3 linked regions of the Drosophila melanogaster genome follow. The protein of the gene in region 2 purifies or fractionates together with the protein of the main gene of each other region. This does not show direct contact. Each region holds a gene or a part of one and is shown on either strand. Other genes may lie near its edges. The genes, in order: Ssl, Pak3 and CkIIbeta2.

Region 1 (3,557 bases), on a different chromosome or scaffold from region 2:
GTGATGACTTTTTCGGGTCTCACCGCGGACGCACGGATCCTGGTAAGCCGCGCCCAAATGGAGGCCCAGAGCCATCGTCTGAATTTCGAGAAGCCCACGACCGTGGAGTACATAACCCGGTGAGGAAGAGCACTGCCTACACAGGGAAAAGTATGCAGTGAATGAGCTGAGTTGCAAACCACAAAATACTCATGCATACTTTTTCCTGCCCTTTCGAAAAAGTTAAGAACTGTTCTCTCAGTGCATCCCCCTAGGCAAATTTGGATTTACCTTTTATGTCCTTTCCGCTTCCCATGCAGATACATAGCCCAGCTGAAACAGAACTACACGCAGAGCAATGGGAGGCGTCCATTTGGATTGTCCTGTCTGGTTGGGGGCTTCGACGAGGATGGCACTCCGCACCTGTTCCAAACGGATCCCTCGGGCATCTTCTACGAGTGGAGGGCCAACACCACCGGCCGCTCAAGCCAGCCGGTCCGCGATTACATGGAGAAGCACGCGGACGAGATTCTGACCATCGCCGACGAGGCAGCGGCCATCAAGCACATAGTCCGCACCCTGGTCAGCGTGTCCTCGCTCAACCACACCCAAATGGAGGTGGCTGTGCTCAAGTACCGCCAGCCACTGCGTATGATTGATCACCAGGTCCTGGCCGATCTGGAGCGAACCGTTCGCAGGGAAATTGAAGACGAGGCCGAGGCCAGTCGGCGGCCCCGTGCTCCCTAGTTTTGGCCGGCCACCCTGATCCATTCTGTTCGCCATGGCCCCTGGCCATTTTCATGACCAATCAAAAGTTGATAACCGGTCGTGCTCTCTTTTTCTGGGCAATTCAATTTCGGCCGGGGAGTTGGAGAAAAGTAATCAGCAGGAAAAATGTGTAAAGCGGGCAAATCACTTAATTTGTCTCCAGGGCGTATTTGTTTACTTTATATCCCTCTCCGGCGTAGACGCGTACGCTCCTTTCAGGCCAACCAAGTTAAAAAGTTTTAAGTGAAAATGCGAATTGAATTTGTAGAGGAAAAATAAGAAAGTGCGCGCACACATGCAGAAAATGTTTGTCAATCGAGATGGTTTCTCTTGATTGGGTTAATAAATTCCTAGATGCCAAGGAATGCTCCTTGATCCTGATGTAAAGAACATTGTTTTCTGAAGGCATCTTTACATTAAAGCAGGTCTTTTCCCATTGCAGAAGTACTGTCGATTTTTTCGCCGTGAGTTCCATTTGCGATTTCCTGCTCCACCTACACTGGGCTCCCCAGGCTGTCATATTGGCCGTTCAAAGTTGAGTCCCACTCATTTCCTGAAATCAAGTGCTTCAACCGAAAGTGGGTTTCATGGGTTAAGGTGTATGCTGTTATAAGGGTATGACCTGCCTGAAGGGTTCATCAGGGCAGCATCAATGATGTCAATAGTGGAGCACCGCACCCTTCGTTTCCCCTTGAGCAACTGGAGCATCAGGACTACGTTCTGGTCATTACAGACGTGTTTTGCGGCCTAGGCTTCCAAGAAAGCCAGGCTTCTGGCTAGCCTTGCCGATTTGACGAGTTTGAGGTCTTTGTGAAGGGCATCGAGTCCTCGGGCGATAAAGGGTTTGGAACACTGCTGCCCTGTCGCAGCCCTGACATTTGAATTGTTGTCACTGAGCTGTCTGTCATTATGAAATAGTAGGTCTCGTCATTTTGCACTGTACTTTTTCATTATATTTTATTCGAGTGAGCATGTCGTGTCCGTAAGTAACTAGGTTTTTCCTATAAAAATCATAGCAAATTACACCAAAATCTTTTAGCAGGAGCATCGAGATACCAGATGGCAGTTGGATCGATTGGTTCCTGGGAATCAAGGGCCACGAATTCTCCTGCCGGGTGCCCAATGAATACATCCAGGACAAGTTCAATCTGACGGGCCTGGAGTTCGATAGCCAGACACTGGAGGTAGTCTTAGATCCGGAGTTCGACAACGAGGACTGGGACTGCGCCGAAGAGAAGAAGCTGTATGGCATGATCCATGCACGGTACATCGTTTCGCCGCGTGGCATTGAAGATATGCGATTAAAGTACGAAAGGGGGGACTTCGGATCGTGTCCGAGAGTCTTTTGTAAGAGGCAGAAAGTCCTGCCAGTGGGCCTTCACGACGTGTGGGACAAGGCCCAAGTTAAGATCTATTGCCCTAGCTGTAACAACGTCTACATCCCGCTACCCCACAATGGAATGCTGGACGGAGCCATGTTCGGGACCAGCTTCCCGCATATGTTCTTTATGCAGCTGCCAAGCTTGATACCCTCTCCGCCCGTGGAGAAGTACATCCCCCGGTGAGTAATTCTTCGAATATAATCCTTGTTCTTTTCTACACAAAGCACTTGCACTTCCAGTATCTATGGCTTCCAGTTGCACAAGAAGGCCCTGATGCCGCCCGAATCAGCAGAGTCCCCGCCAATAAAGGTCGAATCCTCGGTCAGCAAGTCGCCCTCCTGGCTAAGGAATGTCCCGAATTTTTAACTCCACACGAACAAAGCACACAAATGTTGGTTTGGTCTGTTGTTGCAATTAAACAGTTTCCCCAATGCGTTGATATGGCCAGCGACCACTAACACATGGGTGCACTCTCTCTGCCCTAAACACTTCACACCATTCGGTCCACGCTGGCCATATCAAGCAGTCATTCGAAAAGCAAAGCGTACTTGCCGTTAATAGTGGTAATCACCTGGGAGTTCGGAAGTGAAGCAGCTTTAAGCGGCCTATTCATCCGCTTAGTGTTGTCAGACACTGCGAGAAAATGGTTGGAAAGTTCTGTTGCACGGTCTAAATATAATTAGGATCCTCTACTACTCGAGAATTGGCATCAAGTGCACAAGGATTAAGGATCTACACTCCAAACGTTGAGTTAGATTATATTTCATCCCTGTGTGCGTGCTCCTTAAGTTCGCTGGACTTCGCAATAAAAATCCACTTGGCGGCACAACCTGCTAAGCCGATAATGGGAATTACGTTGAGCCGAGGCGTGGGCAGGGATTCGTGAATTTGCAGGAGGAGCCGCGTCCTGTTACTGTTCCTGTTCCCGATCCTTTGCCGCTGGCATCTCCAATAAGTCATGCCTTTATTATTATTTACTGCCGCCCTGGCGCTTTCATTTTCAGTTTTCCACGCCACTCGACGCCTTTTTCCTTCGAGTGGAGAAGAGCGCCTTTTCCGCTTTTCTCCATGGCGCCACCACCCTGTTTCTCGCACTTTTCACACTTAATTTCATTAAGTAATCATTCATACTGCAGCTTTTATTGAGTTTTAAACTGGCGGACCGTATAATGAGAATGTCTGGTGGGTGGAAAACGCGGGAAAATGAAAAAGCGCAGGATGCGAGCGTTTTGTTTTACATTACAATCGAGATGGCAATGTGGCTGGACTCGGATTCCTTTTCTCTGGCGGGACCTTGTGGATTCTTTGCCACCTGTTGTCCGCATCCGCCATTACTTATTCATAGTAATTTCTAGAGACCCCATCGAAATACAGAAAGACAGCTCGCCGTCTCATTTTCCACGTATTTATCCAATTTCAGACGGAACA
Region 2 (6,874 bases):
AGAAGAACTTACATATTAACATGTTACTACTTATTATTGCTTATAGGGCATTTATATATAACCCTAAAATTAAGGAAAGCCAAAGCAAATAAAATGCAATTCCAAAATACATCAACCAATTTATGCAGAAATCTTTTAATATATAAGTTCCATTTAATCCGCTGAAAATCTACAACTTTGTGAGCAGGCGTATCCAACGGCGTATAGTAGGATGGGCCAGGCGGGTGTAAACTCCTGGATAGTACGGATCCGCGCAGCCAACTCCCCAGGATACGATTCCGATAAGGGTTCCCTGTGCGCTGATCGGACCTCCACTGTCGCCTGAAAAATGATGAGGTTCACGGTGTCATTATCAACATGTCGATTAAACGTAATTGTAATTATCTGGGCTCACCTTGACATGCGTCTGTGTTTCTGGCGGCCGCGCAGAACATTCTGAAAGATAATATAAATTGGGAATTAATTGGCTTTGTCTTACCAATAAACACTTGAGAACAATAAATAGAGATGTATCTCAAGTACCAACTCCCTTTTGAAAATTTTTAAATTGTGCTCAAGCAGTGAGTGACTTCGTGAGTTTTTTGGGGCTTCTGTCTTCTAGAATTAGAAGTATTTTTGGAAAGGCAGAGTTGTGTATAGAGATAAACTCTTAATTTGTTCAATCTACATGGCATAATATGTAGGGAATAGTCTCTTGGGTAAACAGAACTTAAAAAAGTAGTATGATTCCCCTGCTTACGCTTCGGTGACGCCTCCGTGATGGCGTAGATCGTTGTGGCACTTCTCTTGGTTGACTGTCAGTACCGTAGTGCTTTTGAGTACCGACGACAGGACGGGATTGGAGGTGCTCATGTGTCCCCAGCCGGAGACGACGGCGGGCATGCTTTCCGAGATGGCCTCGCCAACGGTGGGCAATCGAATGGGCGCCACTTTGCCCAACGGCAGGCTGAGTGCTCCGTCCGCTGTTCGTAGAAGGGCCACGTCGAAGTTCATGTCCGCCCGATCGTAGGCCGGATGCTTGTAGATGGCTTTCACCGGCTGAACAGTGCCGCCCGAGGTACGCATGATGCTGCCCTGGCGGAGTGTGAATTCCCGCGGCTGCTGCTCATGCCCGTCGATGCAATGAGCGGCCGTAATGGCCCAGTTGCTGGAGAGAATCGAGGCGCCGCAGATGTGTACCGTTTGGCGGCGCAGCGAGAGTTGGTATGGAAACTGGCCTTCGGTGGCTTCGCGTCCGTTCACAATCCGACTGTCCGGCTGCCGAGGGACGGCAGCCTCTGTGCGGGATGCTTCCAGGATCACAAGGATCCCAGCTATGAGAAGAAACGGAATTGGAGCTCGGCACTTTTGCATGACGCTGCGAACGAGTGGAAACTAACCAGCATTGGGAATCCGTAAGTCGATATATTCAATGGCGCTTTATCAATCACGGACGTTATCTAGTGGGGTACACGATTTCTGAAGAAGCTGCTCCGTTGCCCGTAATTAGCCATTGTCGCTTGGGTTTTTTTGTTGCCTATCTGCCAGATTCTCTGATTTTATTACTGTTTACAGCGGTGACGATGGCAATGAACTTCCGCAAGAGCATCGGGGAAATGCAGAAATGGTTAAACCATTTTGATAAAAAAAGGTAGTTTTTATCTTTTTAAAAAATCGATTCTTATGGGAAGATCAGAAGATATATATATATAGATATCACAAGATCACAAGATATGAGGTTTAAAATACCCAAATATAAATGAATGTAAGATGGATGTTTAAATGTTCTTTTATTTAACTGAGTTCTATTAATTACCGGATTCGGATTTTTGAAGAATTGGAAACCTATATATACTAAAACTAGTTGAGGGTCTATAAATACTTAAAATTATAAGAAACTTTTGTTAGTCAATACTAAAAGGCATTTATCCAGTAGCATGGCCGTTTAGAATAATATTTATATTATTTTATAAAAAATTATTTGTAATATTTTTAAAGTGTTCCGACTCAAAATTGTTGGAAAAAATACTGAACCACTTGACCAGCATCGATAGTCCTATAAAAGTGTCGATGTTTCGATAAAAGGCCACACAGTGGAATACTCGCCCAACTTAGCTGCGGTCACACTTAGTCTGCAATTTTCAAGAATTACACACGCGCGGATGTTTTTCGGTTCATCCTAAGAAACATAAAATTGCAACGCAAAGAGCAGCTTAAAATCGCGAATTAACCTTTAGGCTTAATAGTAAAAATAAAGAGTGTACATCGTACACAATTCGCATTTGTCGGCACAATTGGTGCGAGTGCGACAACAATAGCAGGCCGAGTGCAGCAGTGCGATTGCAGCAAAGCGAAGGGAAAAACCAAAGAAGTTATTAATTTCGGAGTGTTGCTCTGAAAGCGGCTTAGATATACCCAAATCAACAATATACTTCCGTATAGTTATGGAAGCCTGGAAGGGCTAACAAAAAACTATACGGGAAGGCAGTTTTCGGCCCGCGTAAGAACAGCAACAACAACAGACACTGGAAGAACAAGACTGCGACGGCCACTCCTTTTGTGTCCGACTTCGAGATGTGTGCGTGTTCGTGTCCGCGTCCGCCTTTGTGTGTTGAGCAATTGAAAACTGGTGATTGCTGAATAAATTAAGGTAGCTAAATTAATAATTAGCAAAGCGAGTGGGGCCAATAAAAAGTGAAAATCTTCTGCGTTTTCGTAAAGCGAAAGAAACTACAGCTACAGTTAGAGATAAGAAGAGCTCTCGCACACATACACAAAGCGCAGGCCGAACGAGCGAGTGTGCGTGCTTGTGCATGTGTTTATGACTCACGGCTGGTTCAGTGAGAGAGAGAAAGAGAGCGAGAGTGGTGGCTTGAGTAACAGTAACATTAACAATACCGAACGCGAAACAACAACAAATCTGCCGAGCGTTTAGAATTTCCCAAGTCGAGCGTTACTAAACGCATTGAAGAAAATCCCCCCCACCCACACACACTCTTATACAATAAAGAGAGAGAAAGCCGCTGGAAAATGAGCTTCACCAAGTGGTTCAAGAAGAAGGGCGGAGATGGGGGATCGATCTCAGAGATCGGTGCACCCACAAACTTCCAACGGCACTTCCATGTCTCGCGCAACCAGGAAACCGGCGACCTGGAGGGGCTTCCAGCTCCATGGGTGCGCCTAATGAACTCACAGATCACTCGCGATGAGCAGGACAAGAATCCAGATGCTGCCTACCATGCCGTTAAGTACTACAACTATTCGATTAAGAAGAAAGAGAACGAGGTCTTCAAGCCCTTCATCACCGAAGATGTGATCCACGAGGAGTCCAAGGAGATAGAAAACTATGTCAACTACAAAAACAAGCACAAGTCTCAGGATCCCGAAAAGTCCGACGACGATGGCAGTTCGACGGCCACGGAGACGGAAAGTAGCAGCGGTTGTGGCTCCTCGGCAGGTAATAGTAACAGCAGCAGCATCAACGACAGCAGCCAGCAGTCGACGGTGCCGCTGGACGCCCTAGAGGAGGTGTTCAAGGAGCTCAAGACCAATCTGGAGCACCGCGAAACGCTGAAGGCCGCACCGCAAGAGCCTCCACCAGTACCGCCCAAGAAATCGCCCCACACCATACCGCCCAAACCGCAAATCAAGCCCAAACCTCGTGTCACACAGAAGTTCTCACGCACTTCGGATATACGTCGAGATGAGGACTCCGACAACCAGCACAAGATCAACACAGACACAATCATCATCAAGCCAGCCGTAGGGGCCCAGGATGCTGGAGCGGATGATAATCCCGACGAGACGATACTGCGCCGCTCCAAGGAGAAGAGGGCCCAGAAAACCGATGCCGAAATCTACGTTGAGCTGCGGGCAATTTGCAATTCAGATGACCCAAGGGAACGCTACAAGACCACCCAGGAGGTGGGCAAGGGAGCTTCTGGCATAGTTTTCATAGCCGCCGATTTGCAGAACGAATCGCAGGTGGCCGTCAAGACCATCGATATGAAGAACCAGTCCTCGAAGGATCTCATACTCACAGAAATCCGAGTGCTCAAGGACTTCAACCACAAGAATCTGGTAAACTTTCTGGATGCCTACCTTCTGGAGCCCGAGGACCAACTGTGGGTAGTCATGGAGTACATGGATGGCGGCCCATTGACTGACGTCGTTACCGAGACTGTGATGAAGGAGCGCCAGATTGCCTGCGTCTGCCGCGAGACACTCTACGCTATTAGTTTTCTGCACGCTAAGGGCATTATCCACCGGGACATCAAGTCAGACAACGTGCTGCTGGGCATGGATGGCAGTGTTAAGGTGACGGACTTTGGGTTCTGCGCCAACATCGAGGGCGATGAGAAGCGCCAGACAATGGTGGGAACGCCGTACTGGATGGCGCCCGAAGTGGTCACGCGCAAGAAGTACGGCAAGAAGGTGGACATCTGGTCTATCGGCATCATGGCCATCGAGATGATCGAAGGCCAGCCACCCTACCTATACGAGACTCCACTCCGCGCCCTCTACCTGATCGCCGCCAACGGTCGGCCGGATATCAAGAGCTGGGATAAGCTGAGTCCCAACCTTCAAGACTTTCTCGATCGCTGTCTCCAGGTGGAGGTGGACCGAAGGGCCACCGCCGACGAGTTGCTCAGCCATCCGTTCCTCAACGACTGCAGCGAGGTCAAGGCCCTCGTGCCCAACATCAAGGCGGCCAAGAAGGTGCTCCGACGCAACGTATAGTTGCTATGCAATCACCGGACGGCCAGGCTGCTCTACGCGTGATCGGAAGCGGAATCGGGTTCGGGTTCGGGATCTGCCCCGTGTGTATAATGAGTTTTCAATGTAAATTTGTTTTGTGTGGACGAAACCGGAACTGGAACTGGAATAGAATGCTGACCGTAGTCTTTGTAGTATGTACAACCGTAGAAATGGCGAAAGCAGGACTAGGACCCGGCAACTCCCCTTCGAAAACAGGTAAGTCCCAGGTAGCCCATTTGGCCAAGCTCATTATTCAAGCGAAACGATATCCATTTCAACGGAAACCTTTTCGCAATCGCACATGTGGAAACAGAGGCTGTCGGTTTATTGTCCGATGGGTTAGTTTCTCTTTGCTGTCTAAATTTTGTCAAAGACCTAGACCCAAAACAGCGATAGTTGCCTATCTTGGGACTTTTAATCAGTAACTCACTTCGGTTCGAACAACAGATTAAATTCGATCAAGGTTGCGAAGTGCACGAGGCTTTTGTCTCTGATTAATTTTATTTCTTGTATACCTGGGAAAGGGAATCTTTAACGCGGTCAATTGCTTGCAACGCCCTATAGAGCAAATATGTTATGGTGCCAAGACAGCTTAATATGATTTAGAAAGTCATCCATCAGAGAAATGGACTGGGACCAGTGGGGTTGGATTTAATCCAAAAATGATTCACTTCTACAAACAGTTATACTTAAAACTCATGTTTTATTCAACAAATATTTAATTTTCTTCGTTTCATATGATTCAAACATGATTTGAAAAAACCAGATGATGATAACTTAATGCGTTATTATAAAAGACACATTTTTTAGTTTTCTGGTATAGCAAAAATATTATTATTTCCTGAATTAAAAAAATTCTTTGCCATTTCCATGAACATCTCTCCGTAATAATGAAGTTTGGGATTTTCCTACATGAGAGCACACACCGTTACTTGGCTAGCGCTGCAATTGTTTATGTCTCATTCGTTTGGACACCTATTACGTATAGGGTTTTTGCACAAACCATTCCATTGAAAACCGACAATGGACAAAAAAGCAAGTAAAAGAAAGAAGCCGCTCCGGCAGTAACAACAAACAACAACTGAGTACGCAATTTAACACGCTCGTTCGCATTTCCTGTTTGGAATATCGCTTTGTCTGGCCAAAAAATATTCATACATCATAATAAAGAAAACTTTAATTCAGGCACACAGACAGCGAAAACACCTACGCGCAGCGAAATGCATTTGTATTGGCCTTATCAGGCGCGTACAACATGCTGTATAAGTGCTATTGTAATTCCCCCAGCTGTAGAGAAACCGGAGGGGAATTTATCAAATTCTTAGAACAATTTTCGTCCATTTCCAATGTGATAAGCAAAGCTAAAAAATAGATCGTGAAAGTTCTACGAGAGAGTGCGAGAAAGAGAGTGCTAGAGAGGGGGTGGCGAGAGAGCGAAAGTGGAGTCAAAGTCAAACTGAGTGTGTGTAACACAAAGAATGAGAGTGTGTATAATTGATTCTGATGGCGGTTCTTCGGCCTCTTCCTCTCTCTCTCACTCTTCTTTAGTTCTTCTGCATCTTTGGTCGCCCTCCCACTTACTCAACTTAATTGCTTCTGTGGCAGGAGCAAACGAGAGGGGGGATGGCGACGTCGCGACTCGGCTGCGCTATTTTTACTCTCTCCCACTCCCACTTTGGCTTGCATCTTCCCCTGCATTGTGATGCACTGGCTCTGCATTTTCCAGGGGCGGATCTGGAGGCTAGTTTTTCAGTAGGTTTAAATATTTTAATGTGGTGACAACTGAGAGTATAATTAAAAGATACTTTCAGAAGCTAAGTTTAATTACCAAAACATTAGGGGAATATTCCTTGCAAACCACAACTAGATCCGCCCCTGGTTTCTTCTCCAACTTCTACCGGATCTCTAGGCTCTCTATTTGTTTATATTACTGGCGCATACTTTTGCTTTCCGTTTTGCGGGAGAGTGAGGGAGAGATAGCGATGGTTCTTCTCACTTGCGGATATTGAAATCTTTAATTCTGCAAGTACTGGAAGCAGGGAGAAAGGAGGGATACGCTCAGGAATTTGCGCAAAAACTAAAACATTCTCTTCGTTTTCCATTCTGGCTTCTGGGCGTGGAACCTCGATCTTGGGGC
Region 3 (3,742 bases), on a different chromosome or scaffold from region 2:
GTCAGACGAACAAGGTGCGTGTCCGGCATGATAAATATTGCAATGGTTCCAATTGTTTAATATAAAAATGAGCAAATCCCAAATATTGCACCGCAGTTTCAATCGAGCCGTTCATTAAAATGGTGACAAAGGTATGATGTGGCTATTTAATAAACATTTTTACGTAAATCTTTTTGGCATTCCTAAAGTTGCTTCTACTGCTGCCATTTGTGGCCATTGTACAAGCTGAAGTGGATTTTACCGGTGGACGTATAGCACCTTATGCACCAACTGGTTGGCATCCGCAGATTCCATTCAACTTACCCAACGAGTATGTGCCTGCTATCCGATCAAGTCAGGGAGTAGAAATCACAAAGGCACGAGTGGACCAGTTCGATCCAGTGGAAAAGCCCCAGCCAAATTATTTGCCTCCAAATCAACTGGATATACCCGAGGAAGAGATTTTGCCCACCTCACGACCGTCCAACAAGTACGGTCCGGCAGATCCGAAATTTAAAATCATTTATCCTGATGATGAGGAGCCAGTTACTGCAAAAAATATCGTAGACAATCAGCAGCCCAAAATCAGAGAGGGACGTTACTTCGTCATTTCGCAGGACAATAAACTACAAAGAGTTTCTTTCAGCTCCCAGCAAAACGCAGATGCAGATGCAGATGATTTTACGGCTCAGTTGACTTACTCCACTGTGGGGCAACTCAAGGATCCTGTGTATCGATACAACAGACAGGGACAACTGGAGCGGGTCCTGAAGTAGGCAATTTGGATATAGCTATTTGAATATGTAAAATAGAGTTGTGCAATGTATTCAATTCTCAGAATGAATTATCTTGTTAATTATAAAAACAGTTTGGTTTTTCTTTTTGACTTTGTTTTATACAAAAATGCTTCTTTATTCATTTAATAATTATTAAATATACACAAAAATCTCATAAGTTCGTTTCACTTTCGAATTTCCATTTTCGTTTAAAAACTAAATACAATCCTTATGCATGTATGTATGAATGCGTAATGGTCATGTTGTGGGTGAATGGTGTGTTGGAGTGTGTGCGTAGACTAACACAAAATGAAGGCGCTTAAACAAAACAAAACGGCAAGGAGTTCCAGGTGTAGAGACGGAAAACAGGATAACGAACAGCAGTGAAACGGAAACGGAAAGGAACGCGCCTGTCTATGGCAAAATGGCGGGCGTCCCACTAAGGGTATGCACAGAGATGGGAATAGGGTTATATGGATAGACTGACTGCGATCGCTGGCCCACTGGCTGGATGTGCGTTTAATACTCGGCCAGCGATCCCATGAAGTAGACGAGTATAGTTGCGGGGTCGACCTAAATCGGGTATCCTCACTTCCCCATCTTAGTAGCCGTTGAATTTGCCCTGCTGCGCGTTGCTATCATAACCGCCACCGTTGCGACCATTGCCATTGCCGTTTCCGTTGCCATTGCCGACCTGCTCGTACCGAATGGTTGGGCGGTATCCATTCTGGTCGGCCTCGTACTCAACAATCTGTTTGCGTCCATCGGGCAGCAGGACGTAGTAGCGGCCCACAGCAAGATCACCATCGCGGGACTCCATGTGGCCGAAGTCATTGCCCGACTCGTAGTCCTGTACGTCGTACTTGAACTCGTACTTGGCCGGTCCATACTGCTCCTCATCCCGTTGTCCGTAGCCGTTGCCGTTGCCATTACCGCCGCCATAGCCGCCGTTTCCGTTTCCGTTTCCGCCCTTGAAGATGGCACCAGTCAGCGCTGGAGCACCATATTGACCCTGGGGAGGAGCGATGGGGGCGCCATAGCTGTTGCTGGGCGCTCCTCCATTGCCACCGGCCCGCTGGGGTGGCAAGTAGTTGCTCGACGGCGACTGGTAGCCCTGCGTGGGCGGCAGGTAGTTGTTGGACGGCGCCTGAGGCGACTGATTGGGGGGCAGGTACTGGTTCTGGGGAACTGGTGGTTCCGCATGGGTCCAGGCAGCCAGGCACACGAGCAGGGCAATGGATGTAAAAGCCTGGGAATGAAAATTCAGGGTTGCATTTACATTACAGTTTTCGTTTTGAGTTGACAACCCTTGATTGAACACTCCGTCCCTGACAGCTGTCATTCGAAATTAAATAAGTCCTATTGTTAAGCTCTCGTGATTTTGACTGATTAAATTAAAGCTTAAAAGAAGCAGCTATGACCGATTCGGACGAATCTTCCTGGATTCATTGGTTTTGCAAGCAGCGTGGCAACGAATTCTTTTGCGAGGTGGATGAGGAATATATCCAGGACAAGTTTAACCTTAACTTTCTTGATTCGAACGTTAAGAACTACAAATGTGCCTTGGAGGTGATCCTGGATCTTAATCCGGGTTCAGCTTCGGAAGACCCCGCTGAACCAGAACTGGAGGCTAGTGCAGAGAAACTGTATGGCTTGATCCATGCTCGCTTTATCCTAACCAACAGGGGCATCGAACTGATGTTGGACAAGTACAACAAGGGCGAATTCGGCACATGTCCACGTGCATTCTGCCATAGCCAGCCGGTGCTGCCCATTGGTTTGAGTGATAATCCTGGCGAGGATATGGTACGCATCTATTGCCCCAAGTGCAATGATGTGTACATTCCCAAGGCGTCGAGACATTCGAATCTGGATGGAGCCTTCTTTGGCACTGGATTCCCTCATATGTTCTTTATGGAGAAACCGGATGCTAGGCCCAAGCGGGCAAAGCAGAAGTTTGTGCCCAGGTTAGATCTTCCGTTTCCTGTGTTTCCTTCTATTTCCCTATGTTTTTAAGGTAGTTACTAATAATGTATAACTAATGTAACTATGTTTTCCCAGGCTTTATGGCTTTAAAATCCACCCCACGGCCTACCGTACTGCCGCTGAGATCCAAAAAGATGTGACAATGACGCCAGTAGGAGAAATCGATAGCCCATCCCACATTTGATCCTAAAGCTAAAATTTCTCATAAGCAACTGTCGCGTACTTCTCGAATAAGTGGGCACTGTTCGCCCGGCTGGCTGCCAGCTCATTAAACTCTCATAACAATAACTGCTCAGGCTGTGACCCGCTTGACAATCTTTTGTTTGGATTTGATGGCCTGCGAGCAGGCCCAGAATTGGCTTTGTCTTTCCCATCTTTACAGCATTTAGCTGAGGCATATGCAAATCTGTAGTAATTGGGTCCCAGGTGAAGCTCCCATCGGATTGGATTGGATTTAGCTGGGCTGCAAGTGAAGGGCTAATCTCGTGATCTTGCGCAATGCGTCTGAATCTTAAGTATTCGCCGTGTGGCGCGGACAACCTGTGGGAGAACCACTTCGGCTCACTCTTACACAACTTATTTCCGAATCTTGTGCAAAAGATCTTCTGGCCGAGTGTTTAGGCACAGGGCCGTCAATGACTTTCATGCTTCATTGGCGTTAAAATGCTATGCTTTTTGGCTGCGCTTTTGTCTGTATTTTTTTTTTATCGCCGCCTGGTCATCTCCAGACTGCCTTACTTGGGCATGTCCAGTAGTTCTTCTTCCGCCACTTAAAGTTTCTCTAATTTATTCATTGCAAAATGACCCCAAGCAGCGGCAGCTGTTGTTGCTTCTGTTTGTTACCCACACCCTAGAAATGAACTGGGATCGCTGGTTGCAATTGTTTCCCAGGCGAATGATATCGGTGTTCTAATTCCGCAACCTACCATAAAAAACAGTAGCTATCCTAAACAAATTGATGGTAATCTTAACTGCGATGATGATGGCAACTTATGAAATTT

Evidence for each region.
Region 1: the proteins of Pak3 (region 2) and Ssl purify together in Drosophila melanogaster (affinity purification with western blotting, with the first as the bait; one study listed by BioGRID). This does not show direct contact.
Region 3: the proteins of Pak3 (region 2) and CkIIbeta2 purify together in Drosophila melanogaster (affinity purification with western blotting, with the first as the bait; one study listed by BioGRID). This does not show direct contact.

Annotation. Positions count from the first base shown.
Region 1 is NT_033778.4:24,498,354-24,501,910, reverse strand, and holds Ssl (suppressor of Stellate-like), read left to right. Parts: upstream 1-1,643; 5' UTR 1,644-1,718; coding exon 1,719-1,729; intron 1,730-1,786; coding exon 1,787-2,308; intron 2,309-2,368; coding exon 2,369-2,495; 3' UTR 2,496-2,668; downstream 2,669-3,557. Other genes in the region: Prosalpha4T2 (proteasome alpha4 subunit, Testis-specific 2), read left to right, coding at 1-119, 300-726.
Region 2 is NT_033777.3:16,449,046-16,455,919, reverse strand, and holds the start of Pak3 (Pak3), read left to right. Parts: upstream 1-2,098; 5' UTR 2,099-3,009; coding exon 3,010-4,719; coding exon of another isoform or gene 4,720-4,761; 3' UTR 4,762-4,953; intron 4,954-6,874. Other genes in the region: CG10405 (uncharacterized protein), read right to left, coding at 170-321, 395-435, 740-1,353.
Region 3 is NT_033778.4:20,287,508-20,291,249, forward strand, and holds CkIIbeta2 (casein kinase II beta2 subunit), read left to right. Parts: upstream 1-2,037; 5' UTR 2,038-2,171; coding exon 2,172-2,722; intron 2,723-2,816; coding exon 2,817-2,925; 3' UTR 2,926-3,043; downstream 3,044-3,742. Other genes in the region: CG34199 (uncharacterized protein), read left to right, coding at 120-131, 189-755; Cpr56F (cuticular protein 56F), read right to left, coding at 1,357-2,004. UniProt on the Drosophila melanogaster protein: Participates in Wnt signaling. Plays a complex role in regulating the basal catalytic activity of the alpha subunit.